3 linked regions of the Mytilus edulis genome follow. The protein of the gene in region 3 interacts with the protein of the main gene of each other region in a pairwise test. Links are inferred from orthologs where the notes say so. Each region holds a gene or a part of one and is shown on either strand. Other genes may lie near its edges.

Region 1 (3,844 bases), on a different chromosome or scaffold from region 3:
AGAATATTATACCAAGACCATGGAGACTGAAATTTCTTTCCAATTCGTGAAATCAGTGTGACAAAAATGCCTTAGTTTATAAGAATGATATGATAACAAAACTTTCTATAAACTATATCAAGCGCAATTAAATCAAAATGATATAGAATTTTACAGGTTTAATAAATCTGCAAATAAATACACTGGTATCCAAAATATATGTAAAATAGTGTAGTACATGTAATTCTCAAGAATAGATAAATATTGAGACAAAACAGCACTTAAATAATAAAATTCAGCAAAATATACTGATTAATGTGATACATGATTTATATTTATGGTCAAGTGGTTAATTAAAAGATTTATATAACAACAATCAGAACATTTAAATCAATATTTGATATCTAGATAAAAGCAGTTTACAAATGTAAACAATGAATATTTCTTAACAAGATAGTGATTTATAACATATTCTAAAAAAAAATATTAACAACATTAACATGATGACTAAAAAGTACATTTTTTCTTTTATCTGCAAGTAAAGTGTGAAATTAAAATTTAATAAAAGCACAGACAAGGTACATTAAAGTGCATTTTTTCAAAGTTTTTTCATGGTCTTTAACTTTTTTGACTAAAAATGTAAAAATAATGTTTTTGTTGACAAAAATCCTGAAAATTTCTGATGAAAATGTTGTTCTTTTTTCTTAAATAATAAAATTCAGTAAAAATGAAATGTAATGCTAATTTAAAAAGATTTATTTAATTGTTTCACCATGTTCACTTAAACTTGTTTTTTTTCATTTTAATAATTTATATGAGTTGATATATGTACATATACAGCATGTACAGCAACATTGAACTTAAACTACACATTATGACTTTAATGACTGCAGGAAATTATCAATCACATTGCTGTAGTTTTACATTATTTTTAACAATTGGTTAAAAGAAATCAAGTTTTCTTTTCTACACCTATTTATTATTTGTATCAACAGCATCCACTCCCTTCTGGTTCGCCCTCTACAACATGGAATGGTTCTTTCGGTGGTCTAGAAAATCCATGTTTTACACCATCCCAACCGTCTTCCACATGTAGTTTGTCATCTTGTATCAATTTATGTATTTCCCGGGCTAATAAAAGAAATGCTTCCTCCACATTCTGTCCATTTCTAGCAGACGTTTCGATATATTTCAGTCCATTACTTTCCGCAAACATTTTACCTTCTCTAGTTGTGACTTGTCGTTCTTCATCTCTATCAGATTTGTGACCCACAATTAAGTATACACCTTTATGTGGTTCAGTCTGATCTTTTGACTCTTTTAACCATTGTGTAATATTCTCAAAGCTTTTTCTTTTAGTTATGTCAAATACAATTAAAATCCCCACTGAATTCCTATAGTAAGATCTTGTAATGGACCTGCAAGTAAACAAAATTATGTCATCATACATCGTATATAATAATATACGTTTTTTATTTGACACTGTTTCCTCTTTTCATATTGGTAAAAAAATATATGTTCTTTAAAGACCTTTAAATACATTTAACATTCCCCAATGAAAACTAGTTTAACTAGGAAACAATGTCATAGCCAACACTAGAACCAATTGCAAGGATTCTTTAATTTATTCCCTTTAAAATTTATGAATGATTTTTAGGGGGATCTTACATTTTTTTATTTCAATTTAAAAAATTCAAATTGAAACCAAGGTCAAGTTTTGTTTCTTATGTATTTTTCATCATTTATATTTAAGTCAAAGTATTTTGTCAAGTAATGTATCTATATACATGATATACATGTACATATAACAGTTCTTTTCTGTGACAAAAAAAAAACAAAACATGAGCAGTTTCACTGACACTGTTGTTTGAAGTTGTGGAACTAAAGCCAAATGCAACTTACTTTGTCAAATTTTACTGAGGTATATTTTCGACATTTTATTTTTGCTTTCCTTTTTTCCTATTTTCAACATTAAATGAGTAATTGTATTCAACATGTTCAAAGGATTTACATTCACAAGGTGTCATTGCACTACTAGATTTAAAATTTGTCACAATAAGTCAGACTTTACAAAATTATAAAATCCAAATGACAGTAATAATACTATCAGTATGGTCATTACACTGTCACATTATAACACAATCCTAATGATCTGAGAAGTTGTGTTTAGATTTCAGAAGCTGTTATATTGTGTTACAAAAGTAAAACAATTAAGATGATTGACAGAGCAACGTCCTGAGGGCCCACTACTCCTGTATTGGCTGTAAAAATTGTCAACAGCATGTGTATCTATGAGAATAGACATGTACATTGACAATTAATCATTGTTAAATATCAAGTTAGTATTAAGTTAAATTAAGATAAGATATAAGAAAATTTATTTTAAGTCGGGTTACATGAAATACTACTGACATTAGCTCTGTAGAGCATTTTGTCGACATGCTTTCTGCAGTGTGTTTGGGTCAATTAATGTATTATGGCCAGTATTTTAATTCTAACCCAATATATTTATGCGCCAACTCTATAAAAAATACATTTATAAAAATATGTTAATTTATATATTATTTAGAAAGATTACTTTTCTCTTTCTTAGAAAAATAAACCAATAAATAATTATTCAGTTATTCAACATCAAAACAATGGCAGTATCCATATGGACCATGTGCACTTCATCACAGTGCAGCCATGATGAATAAATTATTGCATTAATTTACGCATTATGCAACACTAATCTACTACCTTTTTCCTTACTCTTAATTGATAAATTACCTAAATCTTTCCTGTCCAGCTGTGTCCCAAAGCTGTAGTTTTACCCTGACACCAGGATTTACTTCAATCAGACGTGCATAAAAATCAACCCCAACAGTTGGATCACATGCGTCTGAAAATTTTCCATCTGTGAAGTATTTCAACAATGACGATTTACCAACGGTACTGTCACCGATCAGAATAACTCTGAACTGAAAATCAAATATTGGCTCTACCATATTTTCTTACGATTTACTTATCTTTAACAGAATCAAGTTAACATTCTATATTAAGATAAGGTTTGTTTACATTTTTTGATCAGCTTCCGGTTTCTCTTTAAATGACAGATGTTAAATCATGTTTGATTGGTTTACTTCGAGGAAATTACACCAATCAAAACTTACTTTTTATTGAAGGGAATTGAGGCTCCAACTGGGGTCAAACTAAAAGTAGCTAATTATTTAAAATTCGAACTGTATTATAGATTTTATTGTTATATCACCAGTTAACAAGTGAAATTTTAGTAAATATGTAAACTCTTAGACTGCTATCACTGTATTTAGTAGTGACTAGTCTGAGGTAAAATATATAAAAATATAAAAATGAAAGATTAATTTATTTATAAAATCAGATTAATAATTAAAGTAATGATAAAATTAGAGAGAGAGTTTAATTGAACAAAACCTGATAGTTTCAGAACTGCAATTTTGAATTTCTTAACACGTTACTTTATTTTATATATAATAAAATTTAAGAAGTATTGAAATTGTACTTTTTAGAAAAAAAAATACACAACAGATGTAGATTTTTCTTATGTCTGTTTTCAGACCACTCTGACACCTGAATAAATTGATAAAGTAGTGTTTAACACTAATATAAGATTATTTTTCAATATCATTGGCTAACAAAATTTTCTTAAAAATGTTTTTTTTTTGTTGACATTTGATTTCTATCAATGGTCTATTCTTTTTTTCTAACCATTTTTATAATTTCTTAATTTAGGATTACATTTTAAAATATTAATGAACTTCTGCCATTATATGACAGTGAGGGAGAATGATTGTTGGATGGTATTAAGGTTATTTCCATAATTTTATGATCAAGTTGCTATATGCTA
Region 2 (3,844 bases), about 4.8 Mb from region 3:
TATGTTTTAATGGCATATTTGTCCAATTCTGTATTGTTCCTTCGATATTTGTTCACCTAGATACATAAAATTAACTGAAACTCGAAAATCAATACATTTTCTGAAAATTCAACATGACCTTGCCATGCATTAGATACATGTATAACAGAAGTCATCCATACCAATTTTAAACAAATTAAGTCTTCTCACAGATTTTTTAGAAAATTTAGTGTTCACCTCAAGAATGGGTTTGGCCACCACATAACAATTTCAAGTTTATTTACAATTTACACAGTGTGTATGTGTTAAGTATGTGTTAAGTATGTTTAAATGAACATATGTTTTCCTAGTTTAGGACTTTATTCATTATATATGTACATGTAGGTTGAACAATACAGGCATTGTTTAGATGTTTATTAAGTGTCCTATATTTTGACTTTAGTGGAACCTTAAGCTTAACCACAAGTTCTACAGCATTGGCTTGTAATAATGCTTTCAGGCTTGTAAAATTCTTCTCTACAAGCCAACTACACATGTACAATTTTCAAAAAATTGAGCTTTGGGCTTGAGAACTCAAAAGTTTAAAGTGAAGGTTGACCCAATAAGAATTACATATATAAGCACAAATAACAAGAACAGGACAGACACCCAGTATTTCTACATTTGTAAGTCTCCCATATCAAGCATCACACACGAGACATAAACCATTTAGACTAAGAGATCAGATATTTTGGTATTCCCCAGGAAACACATGTAGAAAGTTAAGGCCTAAAATATACCTCCATTTCCACAATATACTGACAAATTAGGGTAGGAAGCAATAGCATGAACAGTGCTCCAGCTAGAATTCAAAAGGTGCAGGGTGCCAGTGGAGGGCAGGGCACTTTTTTATGATAGAAGGCACTGCTTGTTTCTAATGTTTATGTCCCTGCGTGTATCACGAGTTCACATATTTTTTTACTGTATATATTGTCAATAAAGATGCATAAGTAGGTGTTATTATTTATTCTATAAAATTTGCATAAGAAAAGTCATTCATACTACATGTTCATATACATTTGTAACATGGCAATACACATTCATACTATTAACCAAAAGAGGAAAAATAAACTAACTATTCTCCCCACCCCCTCTCCTTCCAAAAAGAAAGAACATAAACTAAACATCTCATAGTTTACCATAGTTTACCATACATGTACATGACAGAGTAGTTGTATTTCAAAATTTTCATTGCTTGGCCCTCAAAACTTTTTTTATTGTTTGTGTTTAGGAATATAATATTTCGTGTAGCTTCATCATGTTGATTTGTGATGAGAGTTTAACTACACACTTCCATTTTTGTAAGTTGATAGCTTGACACCATTCAAACAATTAATTCATGCATATTTCTTAATTGAGAATGTATAAAACATGGATTGCCAAAAGTACAGTACATGTATGATTATCAAAAATAAATTGCAATATATTTTTTTTTGTATGTTCAAAGACAGTTAGTATCCTTAAGGTAACATTCTTATATAATTTTGTATTCAATTGGTTATTTTTTCCTATTTTTAGTGCTAGATAATATTTTAGGAGCACAATTTTGTAATAAGCTTTTTCAGGGGAAGTAACTCCAAAATTAATTTCCAACATGTTTACGTCTGCTCGTCGCTCACAAGTTGAGATGGACGATGTTTCTGTGAAGGCAAAGTTGATAACTTCAATTCAATTCTAAATTCATGAAAGTCTTCATTCATACACTCTTCGATTGTGACTTGGAGATCAAAAAGAAAATGCAGACACATTCATCATATTTATGACAAAAAGGTACATTAATTTGTCTTAATTAAATTACCTAGTAATTAACACCTTTGAAGTCTTATCCACAATAATTGATTGTAATGACATGATTAACCTCGTTACCTGGGGGCAATCACCAGGTGTCATATATGTAATTTAACTGCTGATAAGAAATCGATGAAACAAAAGGCAATTTTACCAAAACGGCACAAGGGTTTTTCAGAAAACGGCGTCAGGGCAGAAGGGCGCGGCTGAGGGCACACAGGGCGCGGCGCCCTTCTATTTTGGGCTAACGAGACCACTGATGAAGTAAGGAAATAATTTATGGCAAGTCTTAACAGAGGGAGAAATCAGACTACATGTAGAATACAATTGTTTAAACTGGCTGCATTTGTTTGCACCTGTCCTACATTTTGAAGTTGTCAGGAATCTGATGTTCAGTAGTTGTCAGTAGTTGTCGTTTGTTCATGTGGTTCTTAAGTTTTTCTTGTTTTTTTGTATAGATTAGACCATTGTTTTTCCCATTTTAATGGTTATAAACTAGTTATTTTTTGGGCTCATTGTACATGTACATGTAGCTTGCTGTTTGGTGAGCGCCAAGGCTCCATGTTGAAGGCTGTACTTTACCCTTAAATGGTTTACTTTTATAAAATGTGACTTGGAAGTCAAGTTGTCTCATTTGCACTCATACCACATCTTCTTATATCTAAACAATGTTGTACCTGCTTTAGAATGACAATAATAGTCTTTAACTTTAAGGTATGCACAAAAATGCAAAGATCTATCAAACCCCTCTGTTGACATAAGCATAGAAGGACACAAAAGGGGGTGTTTAAAATAGAAGTCTTGCTGCAAAAAATAAGTTTAAGGCAAGATAGCGAAAAGTATTTTCTATTGAGTATTGGGCCATAGCTCATTTAAACTTACCTGCAGCTTCACCAAGAAAAGCCAACTTAAACTTCAATAACGAGCTCCTGACATAATTATTGTTAGAGATATCCATTGCTTTCTGAGCAAAACTCATTTTAATACAATAATAAGGATGTTCAAATGGATTAAAAGGTCTAAGAACTTTTATCTTGTGTTATATCCTGTTTGTAATTGTTAATTTATGTGTCATTAAATGTGGTCTATAGTCCTAAAATATATGCTATATCATAAGCTCCATGCTGGCAGGTGATTGCCTATGATGAAATTTTATTTCTAGCACTTATAGTAATATTAGTTGCAATTTGTTCATCTAATTATCTTGAATTTATGTCGTGTGTCTGCATTAGTCAATACATTCCAAACAAAACTAGTGCATGCAATTTGCTTTTCCAAATACAATTTCAGTGAACGGTTAGGTCGCCAATTGTATGGAAATTAATATTAAATGAAAAATAATTTATTATTACAAGTGATGACTCAATGTGTGCATGACATGATTGGTTCACAACGAAGTCAAATAGGTAAACACGACCACTTCCGTTACCTCGTCATCGGAACTTACCACTTTGTTCACCTAGAAAAACTAATTTAAACTTCCTCAGCGGGTTCCCGAATTCCCCAGAGGAACTCATTGTGATATCTGATTCCTATGTAGAAATATAAAAGTTAATTTGTAGGTGTGAGTCGAGACTGTACGTTATTATTTAGCTGTCTTCTTTCAACTCGCCACGTTCCGAGTCTTCATAAATTACAGACATGCGTGTTCACACCGGAAATGTCAAATATTTCGTTCTGAAGGAAAGTGTTGCTTTTATTTTTAAACGACAACATATTCGGTCTTCTTCAACATTCCCTTTGTTGATTATTTTTTCTGTTAGTTCATCAATGTAAAATAACGAAAAATAGTCTGGATGCGTAAGTTTCAACATGAAAGTAATTTTTTGGTCTAGTTTCAAAAATAATTTTTTGAAATCAATATATCGAAAAGTTCCGACATAAGCCGGCGGCACCAGTCTGAGGTACATCAACTAGTTTACTAATTTGAGCAAACAGTTCTATCTATTTATTTGAATTATTTGTTCAACTGGGTGCACTTAAAAAAACATAATGGACATACATGTACATATGTTGTGTTTACGTCATTATTTCGTAA
Region 3 (3,600 bases):
CTCCCCTTGTTTTATCATGTTTTCAATTACACTCATTAAAATAATGTAGCTTGGTAGATATTCTTTATAAAATACAAAGCAAACGAAGTATTATATAAGAATGGTCTTTCAATGATTTAAACTTTCTATGATAGATAGAAAATAATATAAATTAAAAAATTATTTCAGATATCTATCATGTCCATCATGTCTATAGTTTCAAATGTTAAATAACATTAATGATACCATTCTTCATGCACCATGATTGATATCTCTTAGGTTTTCAATTTATATTGTTTGAACATATTTAGCATTATTATGTTGAATAAAGTAAAAACTACTATAACTTTGATGGGATTTTTTCGTTTTTCAAATGGTAAAACCTGTATAGCTTATGGGGGCCTGCGCCCCCCAGTCCCCCTGCCTCAGTACGTATACTATAACAGGGCATGCTACGCCACTTATTCTCATTGGTTTGACATCATTCAAGAGTTTCTCAAGTTTAACCCTGGCTCGGTGAGGGTTGGAACCAGGGTACAAGGGGTTAACTTGAGTGGATTGAGTAAAATGGTTTTGTTGAAACCCGAGTTAATAAAGTAACTCGAGAGTTTCAGGTGAACTTGGCCTATAATAATCAGTACCGATTAAAAGTTAATTATTTATTTATTCTTTTGTAATTGTTTTTAAGATTTGAAATAATTTTTAAAACAAAACGTATCAAAATGTTTTATTTAAACATAAACCACGGGTAACATGGGTAACGTCGCACAAAGCAATCCCGACGTTCAGAGGGGAATATGAAGTTTTGTTCGACGTCACATGTGATAGTTTTAACCAATCAAATGTTGATTCCGCTATCAAAATCAACATGCAGTGGAATAAGGTATCCGGTCGTTCCGGCCCCAAGTCAATCCGGTCCAAAGTCGATCCGGCCCAAGTTGATCCGGCCCACGTCGATCCGTCCCCAAGTCGATCCGGCCCATAATAAAATATGAATTAACTAGATTATGGAGGAATTTGTCACATACTTTAACAGTATAAATGGAATTTGAAAAAAGTGTCCGATCGATGATGGATGACAACAGGTCAGTGAAGTATTGGAGTACCAGTTAACGAACTATTTTAAATCCATACGAAAATTAGTGTTATTGTGTCTGTTTGTATCGCAGTTTCTACATTTTTAAATTATGAAGTTATTTACCATGATAACTTTTACTTTGAATTTCATGGCAATTTTTATTTTATTCAGTTCACACACAGAATAGCTAAATGAATATTTACAGTCCAATGGACCTATAAAATTTATCGCATAATAATGACTTATTTAATCAAATCATTAGTCTATAATTGGTTTGTTTATTCAACAGTTGTCTGATGATTGTGAACTAAGGTAATGCCACTCGTAATCACTTAATTCAATCCAATGCTGATTAATTAAAGTTACGTAATCTGTTTTTCAACAAGGTCTTTATAGTTTGATCTTCTGGTTGGTGTAATTATTTGTATTTTTTTCCAGGTTACATCATAGGCTTCTATAACATATAAAAATATTCTATTCTATAACACTTTTTTTTGTAACATCGGATATAGTCAATATATTTTTCTTATTTTGACAATATTTTGAATAGTGTGTAGATAAAAAAAAAAAGTCATATGAGTATCCATTATTCTTTATTGCAAGAAAACAACAAAACAATGACATTGAAAGCACGTTTTCACTCTCTAAAATATAATATCAGCACTCTTTTATAGAAAGGATACGGCAAATCAAACAACATTTCTCAATTTTAGAAATTTTAAGAACTTAAAAAGAAAAACAAAGTTTATATATCAGCTTGGGGATCGGCTTATACCGTTCATGTATGTAACTATTTGTTATTATATGTTACACAAGATGAAAGACTTGTTAGGATCACAGTCAATTGAAAGAAAATGCTAATTACTGCTGATTAATGTTGATGTCTGAATTCACTGTTTTAATTAATATAATTATACTCAATAATCTTGAAAACTTGTAATAAAGACATAATCAACCTAGTTGTTTTATACTCATCTAAAGAAAATATTTTTCAAAGGCCTTTTTTACTATTATTACCGTACACCTTTAAGAGGGGGGATAGGACCTTTATCGGGACTCCGGGATCGGGTGTTTTTAAGCTCGGGATTTCGGGATTTACCCCTTCAGGATCCGGGAATTCTTTTTTTCAAATTTCGGGATCCGGGATTTAACTTTATTTATATTCGGGACCTCGGGATTTCGTGTTTTTAAGCCCGGGATTTCGGGATCAAGACCCCTCCTATCCCCCCTCCTTTAACATTATAATAAAAATAATAAACATTTATGAATTACAATTAATATATATTTATTTTTATTCCTTAGAAATAATTTTTTTTTATTGGGGCCGGATCGACGTGGGACGGATCGACTTGGGCCGGATCGACGTGGGGCCGGATCGACCCGAAAGCTGGAATAATACGTTACATTGCATCGGTGCATAGAAAAAATAAAGTTTCCTTTTTTGTTGTTGTTAGGTTCATTGAAAACAGTTTTTTTTTTTTTATGACATAACAATGAGTAGTGTACATTATTCTCAATGTGAGTGTTTTACAGCCATGCTGTATCAATATTTGGTTTACCGTAGCTTTTTCTGGTGACAGATTTTAATTTTAAAGTTTTAGATGAAAACTCCTAAAACTGTCCGAACGTTACCGGAAGTGTGTTGGCATTATTTTATTTCAGCTTAAAAGATTTTTTTGACAGTAACATTTGATATGAAACCTAGTTCTTGCGAAAGTGAGCAATGATATTCAAAACAATACTATTCCAAAGGATGTAAATATTCAATAAACAGCTGTTTCTTACAAAAGCGGAAGTAAACAAATAAATTCCGAACATTACTTCCGGTTTAAATTACACACAACACGTGAAAGAAGAAACTGTAAAATTTATTGTATGTCTCCTTGTACTTTGTATATATACAGTGTTTATTAATGATCTAGCAATAGAAAAAACTGAGGCTTTAGACAAACATAATACCCACCGCACTTCTGAGTAAACACTTGCATTCATAACTTATCAGATCTCACTATCAAGACACACTAACCATGCTAACGTTCACTCTTTCGAAATACCATCTTGCAAAACCAGCAACAGAAAAGGGTCAATCTATCCACACACGATCAGAGATTGGAACACCTTACCTGACTCGGTGTCCGCTGCAAAAAGTCTTGACTCATTCAAGAGACTACTGCATGCACATAAAGGTTCATGTGGACCCTATGGGCCATAGCCATAGTATGGCTAAAATGGCCGTATTTTTACCTCAAAATTTACTCTGAGTACAGATAAACCTGCACATCTGTAACAAATTTCAGGCATAACATGCCCTAGATAAATGAATTTTAAGTATGCTTTATGTTTTGGAAAAATAAAAACTTGCCAGGATCTTGCCGTGCACTTTTTTTCATTCCTCCAGAAGGTGCCAAAATAAACTAAGTTGGGAAACAGGTTTGAGAACTTCCCCACAGGTAAAAATTAAAGTGAGCATTTTTAATTGACATGGACATTAGATGGACAATAGATACCTGACAATAATTGGTTTTTAAACTGTGTACCTGAGT

What was found.
Region 1: the proteins of GRIP and coiled-coil domain-containing protein 1-like (region 3) and ras-related protein Rab-39B-like interact in a two-hybrid assay, tested with the Drosophila melanogaster proteins (2 studies listed by BioGRID). The link is inferred for Mytilus edulis from reciprocal best matches to the Drosophila melanogaster genes GCC88 and Rab39.
Region 2: the proteins of GRIP and coiled-coil domain-containing protein 1-like (region 3) and ras-related protein Rab-6A interact in a two-hybrid assay, tested with the Drosophila melanogaster proteins (2 studies listed by BioGRID). The link is inferred for Mytilus edulis from reciprocal best matches to the Drosophila melanogaster genes GCC88 and Rab6.

What each region holds. Positions count from the first base shown.
Region 1 is NC_092353.1:38,939,412-38,943,255, forward strand, and holds the start of ras-related protein Rab-39B-like, read right to left. Parts: upstream 3,073-3,844; 5' UTR 2,967-3,072; coding exon 2,749-2,966; intron 1,398-2,748; coding exon 968-1,397; 3' UTR 1-967.
Region 2 is NC_092346.1:48,057,738-48,061,581, forward strand, and holds the start of ras-related protein Rab-6A, read right to left. Parts: upstream 2,856-3,844; 5' UTR 2,786-2,855; coding exon 2,689-2,785; intron 1-2,688. UniProt on the Drosophila melanogaster protein: Protein transport. Regulator of membrane traffic from the Golgi apparatus towards the endoplasmic reticulum (ER). Mediates membrane trafficking during egg chamber growth and organization, possibly upstream of exocyst component Sec5.
Region 3 is NC_092346.1:43,249,294-43,252,893, reverse strand, and holds the start of GRIP and coiled-coil domain-containing protein 1-like, read right to left. Parts: upstream 2,719-3,600; 5' UTR 2,617-2,718; intron 1-2,616. Other genes in the region: ESF1 homolog, read left to right, coding at 2,752-2,773.